2 linked regions of the Oryctolagus cuniculus genome follow. The protein of the gene in region 1 interacts with the protein of each later gene in a pairwise test. Links are inferred from orthologs where the notes say so. Each region holds a gene or a part of one and is shown in the gene's direction. Other genes may lie near its edges.

Region 1 (4,951 bases):
CAGCGTTGAGGACATAACAAGAGACAGTTGATTTCTCCAAAGTCTGGCTCTCACAGAGGCGAGCACAGTCAAGGAGCTGAATGCACGTCCCATGCCTGCTCCCTTTTCCGCAGGGGGGAGGCTGGCTGAGTTTTGGTCGTTTTTATGGACCTCCCTCTGCCATGGCGTGCAGGGAGACACACTCAGCCCTCTCTCGCCAGCAGCGCAGGCTCCTTCAGGGAGAGGTCATCGTCTTCTCGCCAGACCGCCCGCGCCAGCCCTGCAGGGTCAGAGAACGGCCTCTGACTGGGCTTTCTGCCGGGGTGTCTAACCCTGGGTGGGTGGGACGTGCCAGTTACGCCAGCACAGGGGCTTCTTTGGGAGACAGTGAGCTCCCACTCAGACTTGCCAGCCATGGTGAGCTCACCATGCAGGGCTCATGAACAGGCCTCATCTTGCCGGGAGTGAGTGTGGGGAGAAAGCTGCATTTTCTGATTTCTCATCCATTCTTACCCTTGTCTCCAGTAGTAGAGTGTTGTGGGGGGCATGGAGGAGCAGTGTGAGGAGTGTGAAACGCAACGCTGCCTTTGCACGGAGCGGGTGGAGCTGTGCCGGCGGGGGTGCTGCCCACCGCAGTCGTGGCCCTTCCCAGGCAGGCCGTAGCTCAGAATTTTCACCATTGGTAGAAGGCACTCGCCTCTGTGCTTTGCCTGGAACGAAGACTTCACCCTGTCTTTTTTTCTTTGATTTTTTTTTTTGCTTTTTAAACATTCCTTTGTTGGTACTTGCTGCTTGTTTATACTATCATCAGTGCCTTTTATTATTATTATTTTTTTTGAGTGTTCCTGTGGGCAGTTTTCTTTGGAACTTGTTACTAAGTAAACAAGATTTCCGTATGAATGCAGATTCCCTTTCATAGGAAGTGTAGTTATTTTTTATGCGTGGTGCCACTTCCCCATCCTGCTCTGTGAGCATTAAAGAGCAGCTGCGTAGGAGGGCTGGGGCCAGGAGTGGGCTGAGCGCACTCAGTGCTGGGCTCCAGAGGTCGGTAGGCTACAGCTGGCCGCAGGCTTTGTGACTCGGGTGGTGTGGGAACACACACGCACCCTGCAAGTGGGCGCTGTGGCTCTGGCCGTGGCTGTGGCTATGGCTGTTCTATACCCTGTAACAGAACTGAGGAGCTGCAGAGTCTGGAATGTTCACTGTTGGCCTGTGAGAGCATGTTGCTAGCTCCTGATCTACCCCATAACCCCCGTACGAGGGAACTTAAGAGAGTTCAAGGGAAAAATGGGAAGTCCGTGCATTTTTTACGATGTGCATTTTCTGTGAGCCTTCTGAACACTTTTTTTTTTGGTAAAGATTTATTTATTTGAGAGGCAGAGTTACAGACAGAGAGACAAAGAGAGATCTTCCATCCGCTGGTTCACTCTCTAAATGGCCGCAACGGCTGGAGCTGAGCCAATCCGAAGCCAGGAGCCAGGAGCTTCTTCAGGTCTCTCACGTGGCTGCAGGGGCCCAAGCACTTGGGCCATCTTCTACTGCCTTCCCAGGCCATCAGGAGAGCTGGATTGGAAGAGGAGCAGCCGGGACACGAACTGGTGCCCTTATGGGATGCTGCTGCCACAGGTGGAGGCTTAGTCTACTATACCATAGCTCCAGTCCTTTGACCACTTCTTGTATGCATGAATTTCAGAATTTTTAACATCGAAATTATCTTTTAATTCTATTTTCAACGAGCTTTTGAAGTACCCTTGTATTACCTAGAGAAGAATCCAGATCAGTTTGAATTGGGATGATTTACTCTGTGGGAGCAGACAGACGAGAAGTAAAGTCATTCTGTCGGTCTGTAGCACATGTTAGCAGTGGAAAAGTTGATCTGCTTTTCTGGACTGTGTTAATAACATCAATGGGTTTTAGATTTTTGTGTAAAAAAACTACTTCCTGTTGAAATGTTTTTCCTTTTTGCAGTATTGAATATGAAACCTTCGACATACTGGAGGATGAAGAAGTAAGTTTTGTATTTTGTGTTTTGTCCTTAGTCTTGGTTTTAACAGTCAGGGTATGACAGGAAGGCTTCAGGGTCCCTGTTGTCTGTTTAGGTTCGGCAAGGGTTGAAAGCGTACTCCAGCTGGCCGACGTACCCTCAGCTCTACGTGAAGGGAGAGCTTGTGGGAGGACTGGATATTGTCAAGGTAAGCTCCTCATCTGCTGTCCTGAGAACTGGAGACCTGGGCGCCTTTGAAATCCACGCTTCACACTGGGTGTGGACCCTGGGCCCATCTCTGGGTGCATACTCTGGGCCCATCTCTCTGGGTGCATACTCTGAGCCCATCTCTCTGGGTGCAGACCCTGGGCCCGTCTCACTGGGTGTGGACCCTGGGCCCATCTCTCTGGGTTCAGACCCTGGGCCCGTCTCACTGGGTGTGGACCCTGGGCCCATCTCTCTGGGTGCAGACCCTGGGCCCGTCTCACTGGGTGTGGACCCTGGGCCCATCTCACTGGGTGCATACCCTGGGCCCGTCTCACTGGGTGCGGACCCTGGGCCCATCTCTCTGGGTGCAGACCCTGGGCCCGTCTCTCTGGGTGCAGACCCTGGGCCCATCTCTCTGGGTGCAGACCCTGGGCCCGTCTCTCTGGGTGCAGACCCTGGGCCCATCTCACTGGGTGCATACCCTGGGCCCGTCTCACTGGTGTGGACCCTGGGCCCATCTCTGGGTGCAGACCCTGAGCCCATCTCACTGGGTGCATACCCTGGACCCATCTCACTGGTGTGGACCCTGGGCCCGTCTCTCTGGGTGTGGACCCTGGGCCCGTCTGTTCTCCAGCTGCTTGTTCAGTCCCTTCTAGCCCAGGGTGGGCGTCCCTGTGTGTACAGTGTCGTGTCCTCTCACTGCACTTGCCCTGCACTTGCCCTGCCAGACCCTCCCAGGCCCTCCTCTCTGCCCCCAGCGCCTCTTCACCACCTGCCGGCCAGAGTCCACTCTGCCAGGTTACGTGATTTTAGTTTCCCTTGTGCTGTACTCGGCCAGGCAGAGGTTCCTGTCGTATTTTCCTGGTTTTCGGCATTCCTCCACCATCCCCTTGGCTTTGGATTTTCTTACAAATTCTATATTTAAATCTCTTTTCTGTGTCTTTCAAGGCCAACCTGTCAGCGAATCAGTCAGATTCTTGCAGCCAGAAGCATTGCTCCTGCTGTTGAAGTTGCCTGTCCCTTTATTGCTTTGTTGTTAGCATTCTGGTTATTAGAATGACTGCTAGTCTGCACTCGAGTGCATGGAGCGGGAAGAGGAGCAGGAAGCCGTGGGCTACAGGCTGCTGGAGGCCTACAGCCGGCGCGGCCCCGCCTGCCACACCCAGAGCCAGGGTCGCTGGGCTTGGTCTCCTGGGGAAAGATGCAGATCCCTCTTTGCTTTTCAGATGCCAGGGAATCCTCGCGTCAGGTAGCGTGTGCGTTCTGAATCCTCGCGTCAGGTAGCGTGTGCGTTCTGAATCCTCGTGTCAGGTAGCATGTGTGTTCTGAATCCGTCCTGTTGTCCTGCCTTTCCTGGGGTGGATGAAGGGCTTTAACTTGCTCTATGTGAACTCTCAGGACTCTTAAGTGGACATGGCTTTCCTTATGTTTCGGGTCCAGGATGTAGGACGGCTGGCTTCTTCCCACCCGTGTGCATCACAGCAACACTGGTTTGTGCAAACCCATGTGGCAGCTGCAGCGTCAGTGCCTGGAAGCATCGCCCCTGCCCAGGCCCGCCCTGGACACTGGGGATGAGGAGGAGGACAGCAAGGGGCGGGGGCTGAGTGGGAGGTTGGGCTTTTCTGGAGAGGTGGGAGCCAGCGGTCACAGAAGGTGAAGGTGGGTGGCAGCTCCCCGGGGCCCGGCTGGGAAACTGCGTCCAGCCTGCCCCGGCTGCCTGCTTAGCGGAACAGGTGGCGCAGGCAGTGCCACCTCTGGTCAGGTCAGGAGCGGCCGTCCTGTGCTCCTGACCGCGGCTCCAGCCGTTTGCTTCGTGTGGCTGCTCCTGTGCAGCTTTGTCCCCGAGTTCCAGGTCTGATGTGATGCCTCTTAAAAAGGCCAGTGAGGCGTTTTCCTGTTTTCTTAGTAAACTATCTCACTCCTGGAGGGAGAACTGTACCTTCATAATGGCCCCAAAGCAACAAAAATAGATCTGCACTGGGTATTTTATGTATGTGTGTCCTTTGTAAGACAGTCTTCAGACCCCGGATTCTCCCAGCGTGTTCTTGTCTGAGTGTTTTATAGCCTGCACCTCCGCCATGTAGCTCTTGGGAAGACACAATCAATAAATCTCATTTAACTGTAAAAGCTGAGCTGCGCGGGATGCAGTCGGGTGATGGGGCTTCTTGTGTTTACTTGGTACAACATGAGCATTTGGAAATTTGTAATGTTGTTAACATTTTTCCTCGAGCAGATGCGGGAATATCTCACAGGACGCCGGGCTGTTCTGTTCCTAGCATCAAGGGCAGCTGTGCGTCCTGTGTCCAGCACGTTCTGGGTGGGCTGAGTCCAGCTGGCCCTGTGGGGCCCTGAGCACTGCTTCTGTTGGATGAGTCAGTGGAGACAGCGTGAGCTACTCCAGGGCCTCGGTGTCCCCAGGGCTGGCCTGCGCCTGGTGGCTGCTCGCCCTGCTGCTGCACCTGAACGGCTGTGGAGAGGGGTTGAGAATGCGAGGGGCACACTGGGGTGTCCACTCTGGCTCCTGGTGCCTGCCTGGGCTACTCTAATTCTTGTTCTCAGGCGGCGGACGAGAAGACGCTTCCCCAGGCCACACAGCCTCCCACCACTCGGAAAGTGCTGCTGCTTAACAGGAGAGGAGGAGGGCCGGACTCCACTGAGGGTTGTGTGTGTGCAGAATCATGCAGGCTGGCGTTAGCCCAGAGGGGAGGTCGTGTGGACTTCGGGGGTTCCACTGATTGATGCTCATGCTACTTGGGGACAACATGAAATGTCACATCAAAT
Region 2 (4,951 bases), on another chromosome or scaffold:
ATGTCAAGCAAGTTCCCTTTCTTTAAGGAACTTATATAGAATTTGCTATAAAATATAAAATAGTTCATGGGGTTTATGTGTTTTGATTTTGACAAGCCCCTTTTCTGTAGAAGCCTACTTCCTTCTTGTTCATACCCCCTTTACTGTGTGCTTTGGGCATTGCAGCTGTGTCATGCTCATGCACACTTTTGTGTTCTGAAGTAGAATCATACAGCAATCTACTCTTGTGTTTTCCCTGCAAATTTTAAATCTATGAACAGACAAAAACCTCCTTATAAGCACTTTTTTCTCTTCCTTTACTGCACCTACTCAGAGGGCATGTAGGGCACCTAGGAAGAGGGGAGGGGCAAATAGTATGGGGAAAGTGACTCGACTGATTATACTTCCTATATTCCATGCTTTGCTTTCCTTCCTTTTTTTTTTTTACAAGCAGAGTGGACAGAGAGAAAGGTCTTCCTTTCGCCGTTGGTTCACCCTCCAATGGCCGCCGCGGCCGGCGCGCTGCAGCCGGCACACCGTGCTGATCCGAAGCCAGGAGCCAGGTGCTTTTCCTGGTCTCCCATGGGGTGCAGGGCCCAAGCACTTGGGCCATCCTCCACTGCACTCCCGGGCCACAGCAGAGAGCTGGCCTGGAAGAGGGGCAACCAGGACAGAATCCAGCGCCCGGACCGACTAGAATCCAGTGTGCCAGCGCCGCTAGGCAGCTTTCCTTTCCATTGGGTATTTGAATATTATCAAGGGACAACAATAAAGGACAAAAGATAGGTTCCCTCTGTGGGTGAGTCTTTAGTATTTGCTTCTTTTAAGTTGTGCCCCAAATCTCCAAGTGATTCACTTGTCACAAAAATAACTTTAACAGCTCATCCCTCATGTTCCTTCCAGATCAACAGTTTTATGTGTTTTCAACTTCCAAATGCTATTTGAGTGGGCAAAGATCTCTTGAAGGACCTAGAAAAATTTGCAAAACATGGAATTGGGATTGTCAGGTAGTGGGGTCCCTGGGTCAGGCCGTGTTGCCTGCCATCCACCTCTGTCCTCTGCTCTGCTGGTTGGTGCAGAGGTTGGATGATCTGAGAAGTGGTATGCCCATTGCCCCGTAGTTCACCTCACTGCCCCTCTCTGCAAGGCCTACCTTGGGAGCCGCTTAACCATCTTGGGCCCCTGCACCCATGTGGGAGACCAGGAAGAAGCTCCTGGCTTTTGGATCGGCACAGTGCTGGCTGTTGCAACCAATTGTGGAGTGAACCAGCAGATGGAAGTCCTCTCTCTTTCTCTCTCCCTCTTTCTCTGCCTCTCCTCTCTCTCTGTGTAACTCCGACTTCCAAATAAATAAATAAATCTTTAAAAAAAAACATTGTGCAGAGCTTTTAATTTTGTTAGACTTGGAGGTCTATAAATTAAGTTTTCTGAGTCACCCCATTTCCCCATACCCCCAAAAAAGCATGGAATTGGGCTACTTTGGCTTTTGGGTTTTGGCCAGTTGTTTTCAGTGCATGAGAACTCTAGTACTCCAATGCTATTTCAAGAAAAAGGGATTAAAAATAATGCCAGTAAAATAGAGGCAGTGCATTACTTGGTGAGTTAGTAAAGAAAAACACTAGAACTGCCTTTCAACTTCCCTATGGGAAGCAGGCCTATAAACTTGTAAAGGAACTGATGTGGGGAGGCATTCCAAGGCTAGGCTTGTAAAACAACTTCTGTCAAAGCAGCTACCCGAGGTTTTTGGTCCTCTCCTACATATGTTTTAGGGGTAAGTCTTGGACTGACTCTGACCCCTAGTCAGCTTTCTATGAATTCATTTTTTCAGTCAATACTTCACTATGCTGTGTTGTTCTTCACTCCAACTTTTCATCTATTTTCCTGGTTGAGTTTCTCTGTCACTAGACAAACTGCTCTATTTGAGTGCCTACCTTACTTGCAGTGAACTCATGAATATTGCTGTCAGAAATCTGAGTGAAGGGCTATTAAAAATTCATTAAAATTCAAGTCGCCATAGTCTGATCTCAATTAACTACTTTTGGGAGGCATGGTCTGCATGTGGTGTAATTACAGAGTCTGTCACTTTACCTGGGTAGAGAACTCCCTGAGTATCAGTCATATAATCTGTGAAAATGCTTTGCTGCTCTGTGTCTTATCCCATGTGCTCTCTTTCACATTGCAGATGAACAAGAGGCATTGAACTCAATCATGAAGGATCTGGTGGCTCTCCAGATGAGCCGACGTCCCCGGGTATCTGGATATGAGACCATGAAGAACAAGGACACGGGTCACCCAAATCGGCAGGTGTGTGTAGCTCTGGTAGAGCTTAACTATATTTGTTGGGGAGGAGTTTTGAAATGGGAAATATATGAGAAACCAAGGACACTAATACCAGAGGCTTGAATACTGTTGACCCATTTCTTTCTGGGTCTGTTACATGATAAAGATACTTGTATATACTAACCACGTGTGGTCCATGATCTGGATTCCCAAAATCTTGTATATAGTGTTTCACCTGTAGAGAAAAATTCCTTCACTTGTTATGGGGGCAATGTTCATATAATTTGTTTTCCTTTATTGATTATTTAGCAAATTTTCAGCTTTGTGATATTTAACCTAAGATAATTTTTAGCTACTTTACAGTAAATACTCAGGAAAAATTAATTTTGGTGTTAGCTTATGTAAAATATAATCAGGAAGGGAAATTTATTTATTAAAATATTGCATAATATGTTCTAAAGGCAATAGTGAGTCATTTTGTTTTTGTTGTTTACAATTGTTTCTACTCATTGACTCATGTAGTTGAGAGTACCTGATTTATTGAGAGCTGTGTGTTTCTTTAGGAAAACATTTCCTTTTTGTTAACATTTAAACTTGTAACCTCTAACGTCATTTGACCTGCAGAAAGGGGAGCTTCCATACCTAGTGAGATGCTAATGCTATGTGAGATGGCTGTATTAGGCACATTTAATGAAAATTTGTCCATGACATTTTCCCTTGTGGTAATCTTTACTACCAGCTTACCTTTCTCCTCATTTGCACCGTGTCTACCAATTCTTCAGAAGTGCCCTTGATTCCTAGGGAAAGTATAAGGCCTTAGACATTTTTCTATCTTAGGTCTGCTAGATAAAGCCTCACAGGGTTTTTCCTGCTTTTAGGAATACTAGGAACTCTACAAAGGGATGAGTTTTTGTTTTATGTTTTAATGGAATTAGTTTAGAAAGCTGCTTTTGTTACCGTGATTACTTTATAGAACTGAGGAAATAACAGATGAGGACCCACTCTTGTACTGTTTCATACATTATTCTGTTGGATTGTGTGGGTTCTCCCGTGCTGTAACTCATTTATATTAAAAGCCACTTCTGGAAGGAACATTTTACCAGAAGTGAGTCCCCTCCCCCAAGCTTGAGCCTAATGACCTCACTTTCCTTCCTGTCTTCCTATGTGAGTGTGCTTGCTAATGCCGCTCCAGTTAGCTGATTTTTTCTCCAAACTGAACTGTTACCATGGACATTAGTTGGTGGGTAAAAAGGGGAAGCTTTCTTGAGTTGGGAAGGCCCAAAGGGACTAGGCTAGGAAAAGAGGGTTGGAGTGGTCCCTGAAAATTCTTAAAAGAGGGTTTATATTTTAGAAATCCCTCTGTGCAGAACCTAAATGCTATTGTAAGAGAAGTCCCGATTTTTCACTCTGTCTGCTGCTGTGTTACTGGAGTGAGGTCACTAGTAACGAAAGCAGAAGACTGCAAAAAGAATTGACCAGTAGCATATAATCTTAGCAAAAAGGGACTGGCTCTTTGGACCCACATTTACTTGACTAATGTCAAACTGTTTCTGTTGCTTGGAGGATACAAATTATTAACCTCAGTTTTTTTGTTTTTAAAGAAAAAACACAACAGCAGCAGCTCAGCCCTTCTGAACAGCCCCACAGTAACAACAAGCTCATGTGCAGGGGCCAGTGAAAAAAAGAAATTTTTGGTAAGGATTCAAATTACCCGTTAAAGCTAAAATGTACTTTTAAATCTGCTACTCATGCTGTAAGAGTGGAGTTGATTTCCTAGACAAGTTGTTTAAATGGATTTGTAGGGAGCACTGGTACTTACAACCTGTGTTCTATGCCTCTAGTCAATATTTCTCACAGCAAAATTATAAGAAGCTTCTGTCATGCTGTCCAATAAATTTTCTATGTAATAGAAATGTCCTATATCTATGTTGTACAAGGTGGTGTCCACTAGCCAAAGAAACTGAATTTTTTTAATTTTTTTATTTTTATTTTTTTTAATTTTTTGACAGGCAGAGTGGACAGTGAGAGAGAGAGAGACAGAGAGAAAGGTCTTCCTTTTCCGTTGGTTCACCCTCCAATGGCCGCCGCAGCCGGTGCACCGCGCTGATCCGATGGCAGGAGCCAGGAGCCAGGTGCTTTTCCTGGTCTCCCATGGGGTGCAGGGCCCAAGCACCTGGGCCATCCTCCACTGCACTCCCTGGCCACAGCAGAGAGCTGGCCTGGAAGAGGGGCAACCGGGACAGAATCCAGCGCCCCGACCGGGACTAGAACCTGGTGTGCCGGCGCCGCTAGGCGGAGGATTAGCCTAGTGAGCCGCGGCGCCGGCCAAAGAAACTGAATTTTAAATTTCATTTAATTAATTTGAATAACTACATGTGGCCAGTGGCTATTGTGTTGGACAGCATAGATGTATATACTGTGTAAGGAACTGTTGATTTGTTGGCTGAGAAATTAAGCATATGCTTGGTGAGGTGTAGAGATTCATTGGTCCTTTCATTCCTTTCACACAGGTCATGAATTTCTAGGTATTGTGATAAGCCCACCAATGGGAATCTTATCTCAGATTCTATTCTAGGGGGAATCTGAAACTGTGGAACCAGCATGGCTGTTTAAAAATTGAATCCCCAAATTTTATGCTAGTATTTAGTATAAATAAATAAATAGACAGTGAAAACATCAAAATAGTTTTTCC

What was found.
Region 2: the proteins of GLRX3 (region 1) and MAP3K3 interact in a two-hybrid assay, tested with the Homo sapiens proteins (2 studies listed by BioGRID and IntAct). The link is inferred for Oryctolagus cuniculus from reciprocal best matches to the Homo sapiens genes GLRX3 and MAP3K3.

The regions. Positions count from the first base shown.
Region 1 is NC_091446.1:2,024,397-2,029,347, reverse strand, and holds part of GLRX3 (glutaredoxin-3), read left to right. Parts: intron 1-1,947; coding exon 1,948-1,987; intron 1,988-2,078; coding exon 2,079-2,171; intron 2,172-4,951. UniProt on the Homo sapiens protein: Together with BOLA2, acts as a cytosolic iron-sulfur (Fe-S) cluster assembly factor that facilitates [2Fe-2S] cluster insertion into a subset of cytosolic proteins.
Region 2 is NC_091448.1:15,078,555-15,083,505, reverse strand, and holds part of MAP3K3 (mitogen-activated protein kinase kinase kinase 3), read left to right. Parts: intron 1-2,161; coding exon 2,162-2,283; intron 2,284-3,860; coding exon 3,861-3,953; intron 3,954-4,951. UniProt on the Homo sapiens protein: Component of a protein kinase signal transduction cascade. Mediates activation of the NF-kappa-B, AP1 and DDIT3 transcriptional regulators.